3 linked regions of the Daphnia pulex genome follow. The protein of the gene in region 1 interacts with the protein of each later gene in a biochemical or structural test. Links are inferred from orthologs where the notes say so. Each region holds a gene or a part of one and is shown on either strand. Other genes may lie near its edges. The genes, in order: E3 ubiquitin-protein ligase AMFR-like, large proline-rich protein BAG6-like and ubiquitin-conjugating enzyme E2 G1-like.

Region 1 (4,247 bases):
ATAAACAGTCTTTTAAGAAATACAACTTATAAAATAGAATTTTAATCAAAAGAAAAGAATTCCATATTTCTTTACTTGACAGGTTGGAAGGTCGTCTACGAAGAATAGGTCTTAATTCGTCTGAAAAATAATTGGAATGATAGCCAGAATTCGGCTTTGAAGCTATATTACCCATTTAATGCTGGGAGCTGTATAGCGGCGTTTTCCGCAAACATATCTTGTTGAATTCCAATAATCCAAATTTGGCTCAACCAAATAACCTCGCAAATAACAACTTAACACTAACATGATAAACATAAATGTTAACTGCTTGTGAAATGCGTGTTGTAAAACGCTACAGTATAAGAAATTGGAATAGAGCCAAAATGAAAAAAAAAAAAAGATTCTCTTTAAAGTGCAGAGAAAGAGAAAATGAAATGAACTTCAAAAGTCACTTCAATTACTTAGCCATCCCTTGTTTTCGCAAAGTTATTGTTGCTTCATTTATTTATATTGAAGGATTACCACTACATCGGATAAAAGCGAAACAGGGCGCAAATTTCAAATGGAAACCTTGACCTGTCGTGACCATCAGGAGGTACGCGATAAGACTTTGGTATGTAGTGGATTCAAATTGTCTCGAATGTGAACATTTACAGAATTTAACGGTTCAGTTACTTTGCAGAGCTGACGCCCTATTGTAACGAATGTTGAGGACGCAAATCAGGCGTTATAACAGTGCCGTGTGTGTGCAAGGACACCTTCTTCCGGTCCCCATCTGGTACGAAATGACACGCTACTTTTTTCATAACCGCCCAACAAGACGATAAAATCGGCTAGACATGCAGCTAGACAACGTTTTATTTCTGATGTTTCTCCCTTTTTTCTGTCTTCCATCACGCGTTGCCATCAAAGCAGAAATAATAATAGTGAATACATTTTCTTTTCAAGGTTGATTCGGGAGTGCAATTTAGATTAGCGTAATTGAGTACTCTTATGCGTGTCTTAGGGCAGTGCCATAAAACTGAGCATTTTTGGTGCGGGAGAATGTTGCGGAATATTTAGCGAATATATCTCAGAAAATTATTAAGGGATCTTATTGAAGTTGTTTCTGAGTAAAAACAATAAAATCTACTCAGACTTGTGACGTATCTTTTTCATTTTTAATAACAAACCAGTATTCGTCGATCTAAAAACAGATTCAGCCCAGTCCCAGCATCACATGCGTAATGAATAATTGAATATTTATTAGCTTGACTGTCCGAGTCTCCGAGAGCGCAATTCAGTCTACATCTACATTTGAGAACATGTATGCAAAGTTGACATTGAATACATTTTTTCCCCTGGGGATAGCGAGACGAAATCTGCCTTGTAATTTTTGCATATTTTTGACCTTGCTAGAAAATAGTTTGCTGGAACTTTTTGAGGTTGACGCCCAAAACGTCAGTAATTTTTTTTCATTCCGTTTGCAGTGTTTACGTGTACTAGATGCTGTTTAGCCTTACCCGCCTTATCAGAGTTTTGACACATTTTCGGATTATTGAATCATTTGACAAGGCACTTGTTATCGAAATGGTCGTTAGATAACGCAGTGTTATCAAGATGAAATTGCCTTGAATTGCTGTGCTAGCTAATCCTAGTTATTTCTGCTGATGTTTTCAAATGCAATTTTCACCCCAGATTTGTTAGTAGTTTTGTCGTCTTGTGAACCCAATTTTTCTGTGTCAACAACAACAACATGCCTGTCTTACTACTTGAGAGACTACCTCTCCCGAGTTTGGAAGCTTACGCGGTAGTCAGTGTTTCTCTTTTGGGTTTGTCTCTTCACTACGCTGCAGAAAAAACACAAAACCCTGAATGGAGGATGCAATTTGTTAAAACGAATAGCAGCCAAGAGATTCCCAACTCCTTGCAAGCATTTATTTCAAACATCCTGTCTCGTTACTGGCTCAGCTCCAGAGCTCAAGATATTGTGTCATTTTCTATCCATGACAGTCTCTGCATTTGGGTTAGAACATGGCCATCCTATATTATTAGTCAATATCCAACACTTTAATCCTTTTTTATCTTCTATCCTTTACAGATTGTTGTGAACATGGCTTACTGCCTCCTTGTATTATTTGGAAATTGGCTGCAGAAGCAGGTGTTTGGGGAACTAAGAGTTTCTGAACTACAGCACATCAAAGACAAGTTTTGGAATTTTGTGTTTTACAAATTTATTTTTATATTTGGCATTAAAAATGTTCAAAGTATGGAAGGTGTTATATTATGGGGGTCCTGGTTTTCTGTTATTGGCTTTCTACACATTCATGCTCAACTTTGCCAAGACAGATTTGAATATGTAATTGGATTTTATCTTTCTTTTTTAAAAGCTCAAACAGGTATTGTAATTTATCTTATGTTTGGCGAAATTATAGTTATCTATGACTCCATGTACCCCTCGAAATCGACACATCCGCTTGCTTACCCTGCTGGGATCGATTCTGGTGGCATCGGGATTATTATTTTTGATTTGCCTCGCCGTTGGACAACGCGCTGGATGGATTACATTTGCCTTGGTCGCCCCGGAATGTCTTCTCTTGGCTTTACGTACCACCCACGTTATCTTTAGATACATCCTCTACCTGCAGTCTTGTCATCCGCCCATCCATCAGATCTCTCAAGGTTACTTGAGTTGCGCATTCGCAACAGAGACTCTCGATGTGCTCAAACATCTGACGATTGTTGGATCATAGGGTGGAGTCCTTCGTCGTACTACGTGGAATTGGCGGTGGAGATTTCATGCCTCGTTGTGGATTTGGCACATCATGTGAGACGAAATTGCTTTCTGCAATGCGACTGAATTTCGGTAACCCCTTTTTTGTCTCTTTTCGTTTAGATTCACATGCTTCTGCGAGCGAATATGCTGCTCTCTATGGCATCTTTGGTCATTTTCATGCAACTGCGAGTGCTCTACGAACAGCTGTGTGGACGTCTCCGGCGACACGGGAACTACAAACGGTTGCTGAAATTGGTGGAATTGGTTTGTACTCGAGTCGATCTAAAATATCTTAATCTCCCCTTCTTCTGCCAAGTCTCTAGTTTTAATCATTTAGTAATTTATTCTGTTATAATAGTGCTGTCCCTTGGAAACACTCCATTTCGAACTCGAATCTGAATGGGAGGATAACAAATGTGCCATTTGCTGGGAAGCAGCAGCTGTAGCCAGACGGTTGCCGTGTGGTCATCATTTTCATCATGGTATTGATTCATAACAATTAATGAGGCAATCCTTCATCTATCTATACTTGTATAGGTTGTCTGTTGCACTGGTTGGAACAGGATCCTACGTGCCCTACGTGTCGACGCCAACTTTTAGAAGATGGATCGAAAGAAACTGCTTCGTCTTCACGTCCCCGGGAAACTGCAAGTTTTATATCGTGGACGGGCTGGAGTCGACTGTTTCAACAAAACACTGATACTCCGGTAGTAGCAGCTGCAGAAAACTCTCAATTGGAAGCTTTAGCTGATCAGGTGTGACGAAATCTATCATAAAATTCTACTAATTCTTGTTCAACAATTTAAATGTTTATCGTTGTAGGTACTTCAATTGTTTCCCGATTATTCGTTTTCTGTTATCGTTGAAGATCTACGGCAAACTCGCTCAGTAGACTTAACAGTTGAGAATATATTAGAGGGTCGTCTTCTGCCCACACTTCCCAGCTTTCAACAAGAGCCTAGTCTATCTACGTTGCCAACATTCGCCAGGCAAGAAAACCAATTTGATGTTTCCCAGGAACCAGAGAAGCTCTTTGTTGATGATCCGCAAGAAAGACAACACATTCTTCAATGTCGTAAGCATGAATTAATCGCGGAAGCTCGAAATCGCTTTCTTCAGAGACAAGCACTCGAAAACAATTCCACTATCATTGAAAGTTGATTTTCTTGCTATACACGTGTGATTCTAATTTGTTATTGATCCTAAAGTGCGTAAATTATGCATTAGTGCATCTCATAATTCAAAAAACCTGTTTGTATATTGGCAAGGTAAATTATGAGTAGAAAGATAGTGCCTTTTTAATAATTACGAAATACCGCTTCGCTCGACTGGGCGTGGAAGAAAACCCTCTCTATGCCGCAAGCTAGTCCCATCACACAGACGTTCACTGTCAAACAGGGCCTACAAACGTGATTTTACTGATTCACTACCGACGAAGTGAATGCGCAATCAATAGTAACATTTGATTACCAAACATGTAGAGGACGAAATCGGAAATGTGTGACATTTT
Region 2 (4,034 bases), on another chromosome or scaffold:
TTGGATGGACCATGAATTGTGTAGCCACGGATTAATTGTAGGTTGGCCAACCGAATAGATGACTTTGTTCTCTCGAAGGCGGTACCCTTTCCGGTTTGTTATGATAGCAATTATCAGTTCTTTAAGAAATTGCTTGGTAGCTGCCAGTATCAGTTTGATGGCTTTGTCTTCACAACCATGATCCAAACCAGCATCCCAAGCTGCTACTAGCATTCGACCGTGAACGAGTCCAGCGTCAGGTAAAATTAGATCCTGGCTGCAGTAACGAAGCTGTGGTTTCTCTACAGTGCAAGGAGCAGAAAATGGTAACAGAGAAACTGGATTCACTGGTTGGAATCGATTCTAGATAAGAAAAGAATTATGTTAATCAAGGTCTCCAATGAAAATTCCAATAATTAAGACATATTACATCAAAGTTGACAGTGAGAGGCTTGTTCTTTGGGTAAACTTGTCTTGTCACAGTGATCGGTTTGATTTCAACAGAATTACGTTTCTGTAGAGGAATGGTATGTGGTCTGATTTTGTTCACTTCAGTGACAACAATTGGCTTTTGCTTCACACCATGATAGACATAGGTTGAAGGCTGGCACAAGCTTTGACATTTTGTAACAATGGCCAAAAGAAACTCATTGTGAAGATGAACTTGGTCTACTTTCAGGTACAATCTGGCTTGGCGATCAAACTCTTCTTTGCTTGTCTAAATAGAGAGAATGTCAGTTATGACTGAATGGATAGTATAAAAGAAACATTTCTTACCCTCATACAAAACCACGATTTCAGGTGGGCAAAATAACTAAATAAAACATGATATTAGAGATATACCACCACAAATATCAAATCTGATTTATTTACTTCTTAGAAGAATCTCCCAAAACATCCACCAACCGTTTCCTGGCTTCGTTAACATCAAGTGCATTCATTGTTGTTGTGTTCTGACTTTTGAACTGCTTCGCTCACTTTTTTAGATTTAACTCGCCATTGGATTTCGTCTACACCTGTCTTGCCTCGACTATCGAAAACCACCAAAAGATGGTGCTCATTCCAGGAATTGATTTTCATAAAATAATTTTTTCCTTGAATTTGTCATTGATAAATATAACGTGTAAAATTAGATAAAATCTTGTTCGTAAAATGTACAAATTATCATGAAATTGAAGTGAATTCCTCTTTTACGGTTTAAAACCAAGAGAAATAGGTGGCGTTGTAACACAACTTGGTTCGTAAGCCTATGAATTGTCGGCTGTGTCGTGTCGTGTCGATTCGATGTGGAGACAGTTGCGCCTCTATTTGTTATCGTGTATTATTACAGGCCCGATTTCCAGTTTTCCACGTTAGAGATTTACATTTCGACACCCATTACACAACTGACGTCGGTTCAGAGCCGTCCGGTTAGATCGGTAAAATAAAAAATACTGAAACCGAATAATTATTATTAGTGTGTCTGTATCGTCACCAAACTACAGCGAGGTTGGAACTCGAGGTGGTGAAAGCTAAACAAAAATGGCAAATATTGAAGTTACCGTCAAAACCCTCGATTCGCGTAATCATAAATTCACAGTTTCAGAGGAGGTAAGACCATTAAAAGAAACGACTCGTGAGTTTTAGATAGGGGAAACTAACTGGATTTCTGTTTTGCAGCTCACAGTCAAGGAACTTAAAGAACACATTGCTGGGGATGTAGGAACACCAGCAGAGACTCAGCGTTTGATTTACTGTGGCAGAGTTCTTCAAGATGACAAAAAGCTCAGTGAATATGGTAAATTGAAAATACTCTTTCCTAGCTCAAAACAAATGATTGGCATGTAAATGTTTTTGTGTTTTACAGACCTGAGTGGAAAAGTCATTCACTTGGTCCAGAGAGCACCTCCAACAGTTGGTAATCCTCCTTCAGGACCACCAAGAACTCAAGGATCTAGACCAGGAAACATTCACTACCACCTAGACAGAGGGTTTCAAAATGGTGCCAATCATTCATTTGGTAAATTTCTCATCATTATTAAAAGTAGAAATCTCAATAACAATGTTTACGATCAAATGAAGGTTCAGTACCAGCTCCAGCCGGAAGTAGTTCTCTGTTGCGTTTGAATACAGCCAGACACATGCTGGAGGATGCCTCACAGAGTTTGGGAAGGATCAGTTCAGTTCCCAGCACTGGTTCACTCTTTACAATGGATAATACTGCTGAGGGACCCTACTCATCCATACAAATGGTTCAAGCACAGGCTGCCACTGCTATAGCTGCTGCATTTTCAACTGTTCAATCCTTGGGGTAATGACAAACCTCCAAACTAAAAAACTAAAAATGTTAGTTACGTTTCTTTTTATCAGGGCAAACAATATTGCCGTGTTGCAAGGACCTAATGGATCACCAGCAGTTCAAGGATCGTTTGGTTTTCGGGTGCAAGGGCCTCAACCAAATAATCCACCAGAGAGTGGCAGTGGCGCGAGCGAACGCGTAAGTCCTACAGCTCCGACTTCAACAACACCCCCTTCAACAACTCCTCCTTCAACCACCCCATCTGCAACTCCTTCGTCGGCTCCTTCGTCAGCTCCGTCGTCAGCTGCAGCTCCTCCTGGTGACCAACAACCTCGACAACAGCAAATTCGAAATCCTCGAGTGTCTGTCTTTGCCGATGTCATCGAAGATATGGAACGGATCCAGCAGGATCTTCGCCCTCATTTGACAACCGTCCGTCAGCTCCTCAGAGATGATCCCGTATTGGACAGCACATCACCTGAATACCGGCAAGCACAACACACCTACAACCAGGTTCAGTAAAATCATATTATATTTTCCTTTCCATGTTTTTCAATTGATTTTTGATCCAAAAGGTAGCCGAAGGATTGCACTTTTTGGCCCACGCTTTTCACGCCATGAGCGATTTAATGGTTGACTTTGGAACTCCCCCTCCTCGTGAAGTCCGTGCTAGACCCTACGTCTACCAACAAGTTCTTTCATCGACCATACCCATTCACGCTTCAATCAGCGTCGAGACTACACATACCCACCGAGCTCCTCAGACACAGGCTAACCCAGCAGCTCCTGAGGCCGCTACAGCTCCTCAACCGCAACCAGCGCAAGCTCCTCCGCGATTGCCCACAAGAATATCTCCTCATGAGTTCATCCGACACGTTACCCGCCCACCCACTGCAGCTACTGCTGCCAATCCATCAGTTCCTCCAACTACAAATCCGACATTTCATGGTTGGCGGGCTGCTGGAACGACCGGAACGGGTGTAGCTAATGCATCGGCGCAGAATCCCCCAGCTCCAAGAGCCTCAGTCCAAATGCTGCACCCTGAAATGCTGGTCAGGGGAGGACCGCACCCGTTTGGACGTTTGCCTTTAGCCATGGCGAGTCAAGGAGGCTGGACCCCTGTCAATTTAGGTGGTCAAATGCATCCAATGTCGCTCTTTATGGAAGTTCGCTCGAACAACAATCAACAGGAAGATCAACAAGCGTCTCGTGGGCAATCACCAACATCTTTGGGCGAATTTGACGACTTTTTACCGTGTCATTCTCGACATGTTACCCGCTCGTCTTCATCCAGACCCGACACTGAGCGAGCCAGACCACGCCCAGTGGTTGTCACTTCCACGTCGGCGGCACAAGCTTTTCCCGGTCTCAATCAAACCCGTCCACCAGGCCCTGGAAATCAACCGACAGCCGTTCCGGCCTCCGTCGACGAATTTATGAACGAAATGTTTCGTCAGGTAATTGCGGCATTGAAAATTGCGAGAGGAAAACATTGATAATGATTGGTCATTAAATGGAAATTCAGGTGACGGCCAATAGCGGTGTACTATCAGGCGGGGTAGTAGCAGGTGGAACGAGTGGTGGAGATGGATCCAGCAGCCCTAATCCAGTGTTAACCAACGCCTTGTTTAGTAGTTTGCTCCAGGGAGTCATGCAAGAAGTTGCGGGTGTGGTGAGTGGCCATCAGTCGCCCAACACGGTGGCCCATTTCTTACGCAACATTCCTGATTTCACTTACACGGCCGGCGAGTCGTTCCTCTTTGACCTCTTTATGACT
Region 3 (3,599 bases), on another chromosome or scaffold:
GTATCTCTTCCTAGTATCAAAAGTTTGTATGCCGAAGATGAACAGGGTCCACGTGAAAGCCTCACATTACCACAGAAATGCTTTTCTGTCAGTACCAAACCTTTGCAAGCTATAACATCTTTAAATGATAACTTACTCGTTGGAGGCAAGAACTGTATTGAGGCATTTAGCTGGAATCAATTGGTGCTTCCACAGAATAGTGATGAGAAGGTGAAACCTTGCTGGAAAGTTGATCTTCGCTTGCCAACGTAACCATATTAGAATATTCTGATTATTACATTTATCATAATTAACTGTTGGTTTTATGTAATTTTATAGTGACTTTGGCACTAAAGAAACTGTAGATTGCATGATTAACGGTGAAAACTCAACTTTTGTTGCTTGTGGAGACAACAATATTCATCATGTAGATCTTGAATATGGGAAAGTTAAACAAACCTTCTCTGGTCATACTGATTTCATTCACTCAATGTCCCTGGTGTATGTAGATGTAGTTACAATTCAAGTTATTGCATAAAAACATTAATTACTTTTTATTGTGTGATAGTGGGAATCAGCTATCAAGTGCAAGTGAAGACGGAACAGTATGCATCTGGGATACTCGAAAATCAAAACCTAATCACGTAATTACACCACATTTGGAGTCTAAACTGAATCGACCCCATCTGGGAAAATGGGTTGGTGCTGTTGCTATGAATGAAGATTGGTTGGTAAGTCTTGTTTAAGGAAGTAATCTAATCGATGAGAAATCACTACAGTTGTTATTTGTCGCATATCATAGGTGTGTGGAGGAGGCCCGCACTTAGGACTTTATCATTTACGATCTTTGACAATGAGTAGAGTATTACTCGAAGAAGACGTCCATGGTGTTAACAACGTTATGTTTCACGAAGACAATATAATCGTCGGCGTAGATGGACCGTTTGTATACCAATGGTAATTTTTAAAAATTTAAATTTCCCCCTTGACACTAATGTGTGAGCTGGGTCAATTATTTTTAGCTTATTTTCGGGAGATATTACCGTCAAAATGCCTACAAGTCCCCTTAGAGTCTACAGTATTTGCCTCCAGAAAAAGGATGCAAATAAAGTAAAAAAATATTATGATAATGAAATGAAAAACAAATATAATCTTTGGATTGTTATATTAGTTGCTATTCGTCGGCGGATCCGGTGGAGACATTGACATTTGCACCAGTTCTAAACTACAAGATCAAGTGATTCGTTGTCTTTCATGAATTATGTATCGTCATTTGAACATTTTCATCTCGCTTGCCCTTCCATCAATTATTATACAAAAAAAAACAAAGACATCTGCCATGTCTTTAGATTAATAATGTCAAATTGTGATGTTTTATATCGAGTAATGTTCACAAGAAAATACATCGTGATAATTTATTTCTGGGTTTATTGAATCAATGTTTATTTTAGGAGTGCAATTTAAAAAAAATTAAAATTTATAAAACATGCATTGACGGCATTGACGGAGATTGGTCCGTGACCTGGCCGTGATTAAATTGATTGGCCAACAACGCGCGAGCTCTAGAGGAAGGAAGGAGATTTGGCAACGTCAAAGGCTAGGACGAAGCAAGCAACGTGCTTGGAAAGACTTCTCAACTTGAGAGAAGACTTCTCAAGTTCCTCTCAACAAATTTACGTTTTGATTTCATTATGTCCGAATTGCAGTCAGCATTACTTCTTAAAAAACAGCTAGCAGGTAATTCAGTTGTTCTTGGAACAGGTTATGTAAGATGAAGAGCGTGCGAGTCGCTGTACTTTTTATTTGTTTCACCAGTTTCACTCATTCAATGGCGTTGGCTGACGGCTTTCTTGTTTGTTATATGCTTGACTTGAAATTTTTTATCGAGTTTAAGTGTTGTTTTAACATTCGTTTATTTGTCATTTCATCATTTTTGCAGAGTTAAACAAGAACCCTGTTGAGGGTTTCTCTGCTGGACTCATCGATGACAGTGACATTTATCGATGGGAAGTCCTGCTCATTGGACCACCCGACACTCTTTAGTAATTTTTTTATTAATGTTTTAATGAATTGTAATATCATTTTTATCATTTGAAATTTGACAGTGAGGGAGGGTTCTTCAAAGCACACATCTACTTCCCCAAAGAGTACCCGCTGAGGCCTCCCAAAATGAAGTTCATTACAGAGATTTGGCACCCTAATAGTAAGTTGTGTTTTATTTAATTCATTATTTTATCTATGTATATCTAATTATATTATTTCCAATAGTTGAGAAGAATGGTGATGTTTGCATATCTATACTTCATGAGCCTGGAGATGACAAGTGGGGTTACGAGAAAGCTTGTGAGCGGTGGTTACCCATTCACACTGTGGAAACTATTATGATCTCGGTCATCTCTATGCTGGCAGACCCCAATGATCAGAGCCCGGCTAATGTAGACGCAGCCAAAGAATGGCGAGAGAACTTCCCAGAATTCAAAAGGAAGGTGGCAAGGTGCGTTCGCCGGAGTCAAGAAGAAATGTTGTAAGGAACCGAGTAAAGATGAAATAGGCAGTGTAATGTCATCCAATAATTCAGTTGTGTCAAGCCCCCTCGACAGGATTTTCTCCTGCCTAACTGAATTTTAGGAAGGATTTCTCTCCAAACTCGCTCATTTGTCTTATTTTTCCTCTCCGATTCTATATTGCTTTGAATTCTATACAAAACAAAATAATAAAAGAAACGTTTCGAAAACTTCACAAACGAAATGTTCAGAGGAATGTCATGAAGGTAGGCCATGCATGAAATCTAGGATTAAAATTTTCTGATGAAAACTTAGTTGCCTGTTGCAAACCGAAAAATTTAACTAATGAATTCTCCAACCTTATTTAAATGCAAGAGAAAAACAAAATTCAAACAAGTTATGTCACCACAACTTGTAGTTTCACCTCGTGATATCTTGTCATTTTATATATTTTTTTAAAAGCAAGTTTTCTTCCTTCTTTCCTCATCTTTGAAATTAACATTTCCTTACTCGTCACCCTTCAATTTATCCCATACGGGTGATTGTGTGTGCGTGTTTTTGCACGTCTGAAAAGCAATTTTTGACAAGAATAAATGTCGATTCAGGCCTTGTATTTTGAGCAATCCATTATGATTCACAATTTTCAGCTCCAGTTAAGGATTTCTTGCGTCCTTCGTTTGAATTGCGCAAAGCAATTCCCAGTAACCCGAAAAGAGCAGCACCTATTCAAATTTACATAATTTCTTATCCCATAGATTTAAAAAAAATTATTTTATGAAATTTACTGATCAAGAAGAATCCTGGATAAAACAGAATAAGAGTCTCCCTGTATCCCATAAGCTTGCTGATTGGAGTAATGATGACTGGCAAATTACCTCCAACCTATTAGAATTGCATGTAAGTTATCATTTCTAATAATAAAATAAAATTTAACTTTAATACATTGTTCATAACGAATAAGAAGACAGCAATAACGAAGGAACACGCTGTGGATGGCACCAATTCGATCAAAATGGCGAAAAGTACACCAAACCACATTTCGGCAAAAAGATACGCAATCAGCAGAGATGCAAAGCAGTAGGGCGGAGGTAGGAGCAACACACCTGCTGCAAACGG

The links.
Region 2: the proteins of E3 ubiquitin-protein ligase AMFR-like (region 1) and large proline-rich protein BAG6-like form a complex in vitro, tested with the Homo sapiens proteins (2 studies listed by BioGRID, with this or other methods). The link is inferred for Daphnia pulex from reciprocal best matches to the Homo sapiens genes AMFR and BAG6.
Region 3: the proteins of E3 ubiquitin-protein ligase AMFR-like (region 1) and ubiquitin-conjugating enzyme E2 G1-like form a complex in vitro, tested with the Homo sapiens proteins (7 studies listed by BioGRID, with this or other methods). The link is inferred for Daphnia pulex from reciprocal best matches to the Homo sapiens genes AMFR and UBE2G1.

What each region holds. Positions count from the first base shown.
Region 1 is NC_060017.1:3,098,091-3,102,337, reverse strand, and holds E3 ubiquitin-protein ligase AMFR-like, read left to right. Parts: upstream 1-1,444; 5' UTR 1,445-1,717; coding exon 1,718-1,987; intron 1,988-2,062; coding exon 2,063-2,320; intron 2,321-2,396; coding exon 2,397-2,643; intron 2,644-2,714; coding exon 2,715-2,788; intron 2,789-2,857; coding exon 2,858-3,001; intron 3,002-3,095; coding exon 3,096-3,219; intron 3,220-3,274; coding exon 3,275-3,492; intron 3,493-3,559; coding exon 3,560-3,898; 3' UTR 3,899-3,926; downstream 3,927-4,247. UniProt on the Homo sapiens protein: E3 ubiquitin-protein ligase that mediates the polyubiquitination of lysine and cysteine residues on target proteins, such as CD3D, CYP3A4, CFTR, INSIG1, SOAT2/ACAT2 and APOB for proteasomal degradation.
Region 2 is NC_060023.1:11,638,803-11,642,836, reverse strand, and holds the start of large proline-rich protein BAG6-like, read left to right. Parts: upstream 1-1,234; 5' UTR 1,235-1,500; coding exon 1,501-1,569; intron 1,570-1,638; coding exon 1,639-1,756; intron 1,757-1,825; coding exon 1,826-1,978; intron 1,979-2,040; coding exon 2,041-2,269; intron 2,270-2,328; coding exon 2,329-2,770; intron 2,771-2,832; coding exon 2,833-3,714; intron 3,715-3,782; coding exon 3,783-4,034. Other genes in the region: transcriptional adapter 1-like, read right to left, coding at 1-342, 410-697, 757-793, 853-920. UniProt on the Homo sapiens protein: ATP-independent molecular chaperone preventing the aggregation of misfolded and hydrophobic patches-containing proteins.
Region 3 is NC_060027.1:618,667-622,265, forward strand, and holds ubiquitin-conjugating enzyme E2 G1-like, read left to right. Parts: upstream 1-1,499; 5' UTR 1,500-1,670; coding exon 1,671-1,716; intron 1,717-1,918; coding exon 1,919-2,021; intron 2,022-2,084; coding exon 2,085-2,182; intron 2,183-2,247; coding exon 2,248-2,507; 3' UTR 2,508-3,096; downstream 3,097-3,599. Other genes in the region: THO complex subunit 6 homolog, read left to right, coding at 15-248, 319-480, 548-710, 782-936, 1,002-1,089, 1,151-1,237; probable sulfoacetate transporter SauU, read right to left, coding at 3,111-3,205, 3,269-3,365, 3,426-3,599. UniProt on the Homo sapiens protein: Accepts ubiquitin from the E1 complex and catalyzes its covalent attachment to other proteins. In vitro catalyzes 'Lys-48'-, as well as 'Lys-63'-linked polyubiquitination. May be involved in degradation of muscle-specific proteins.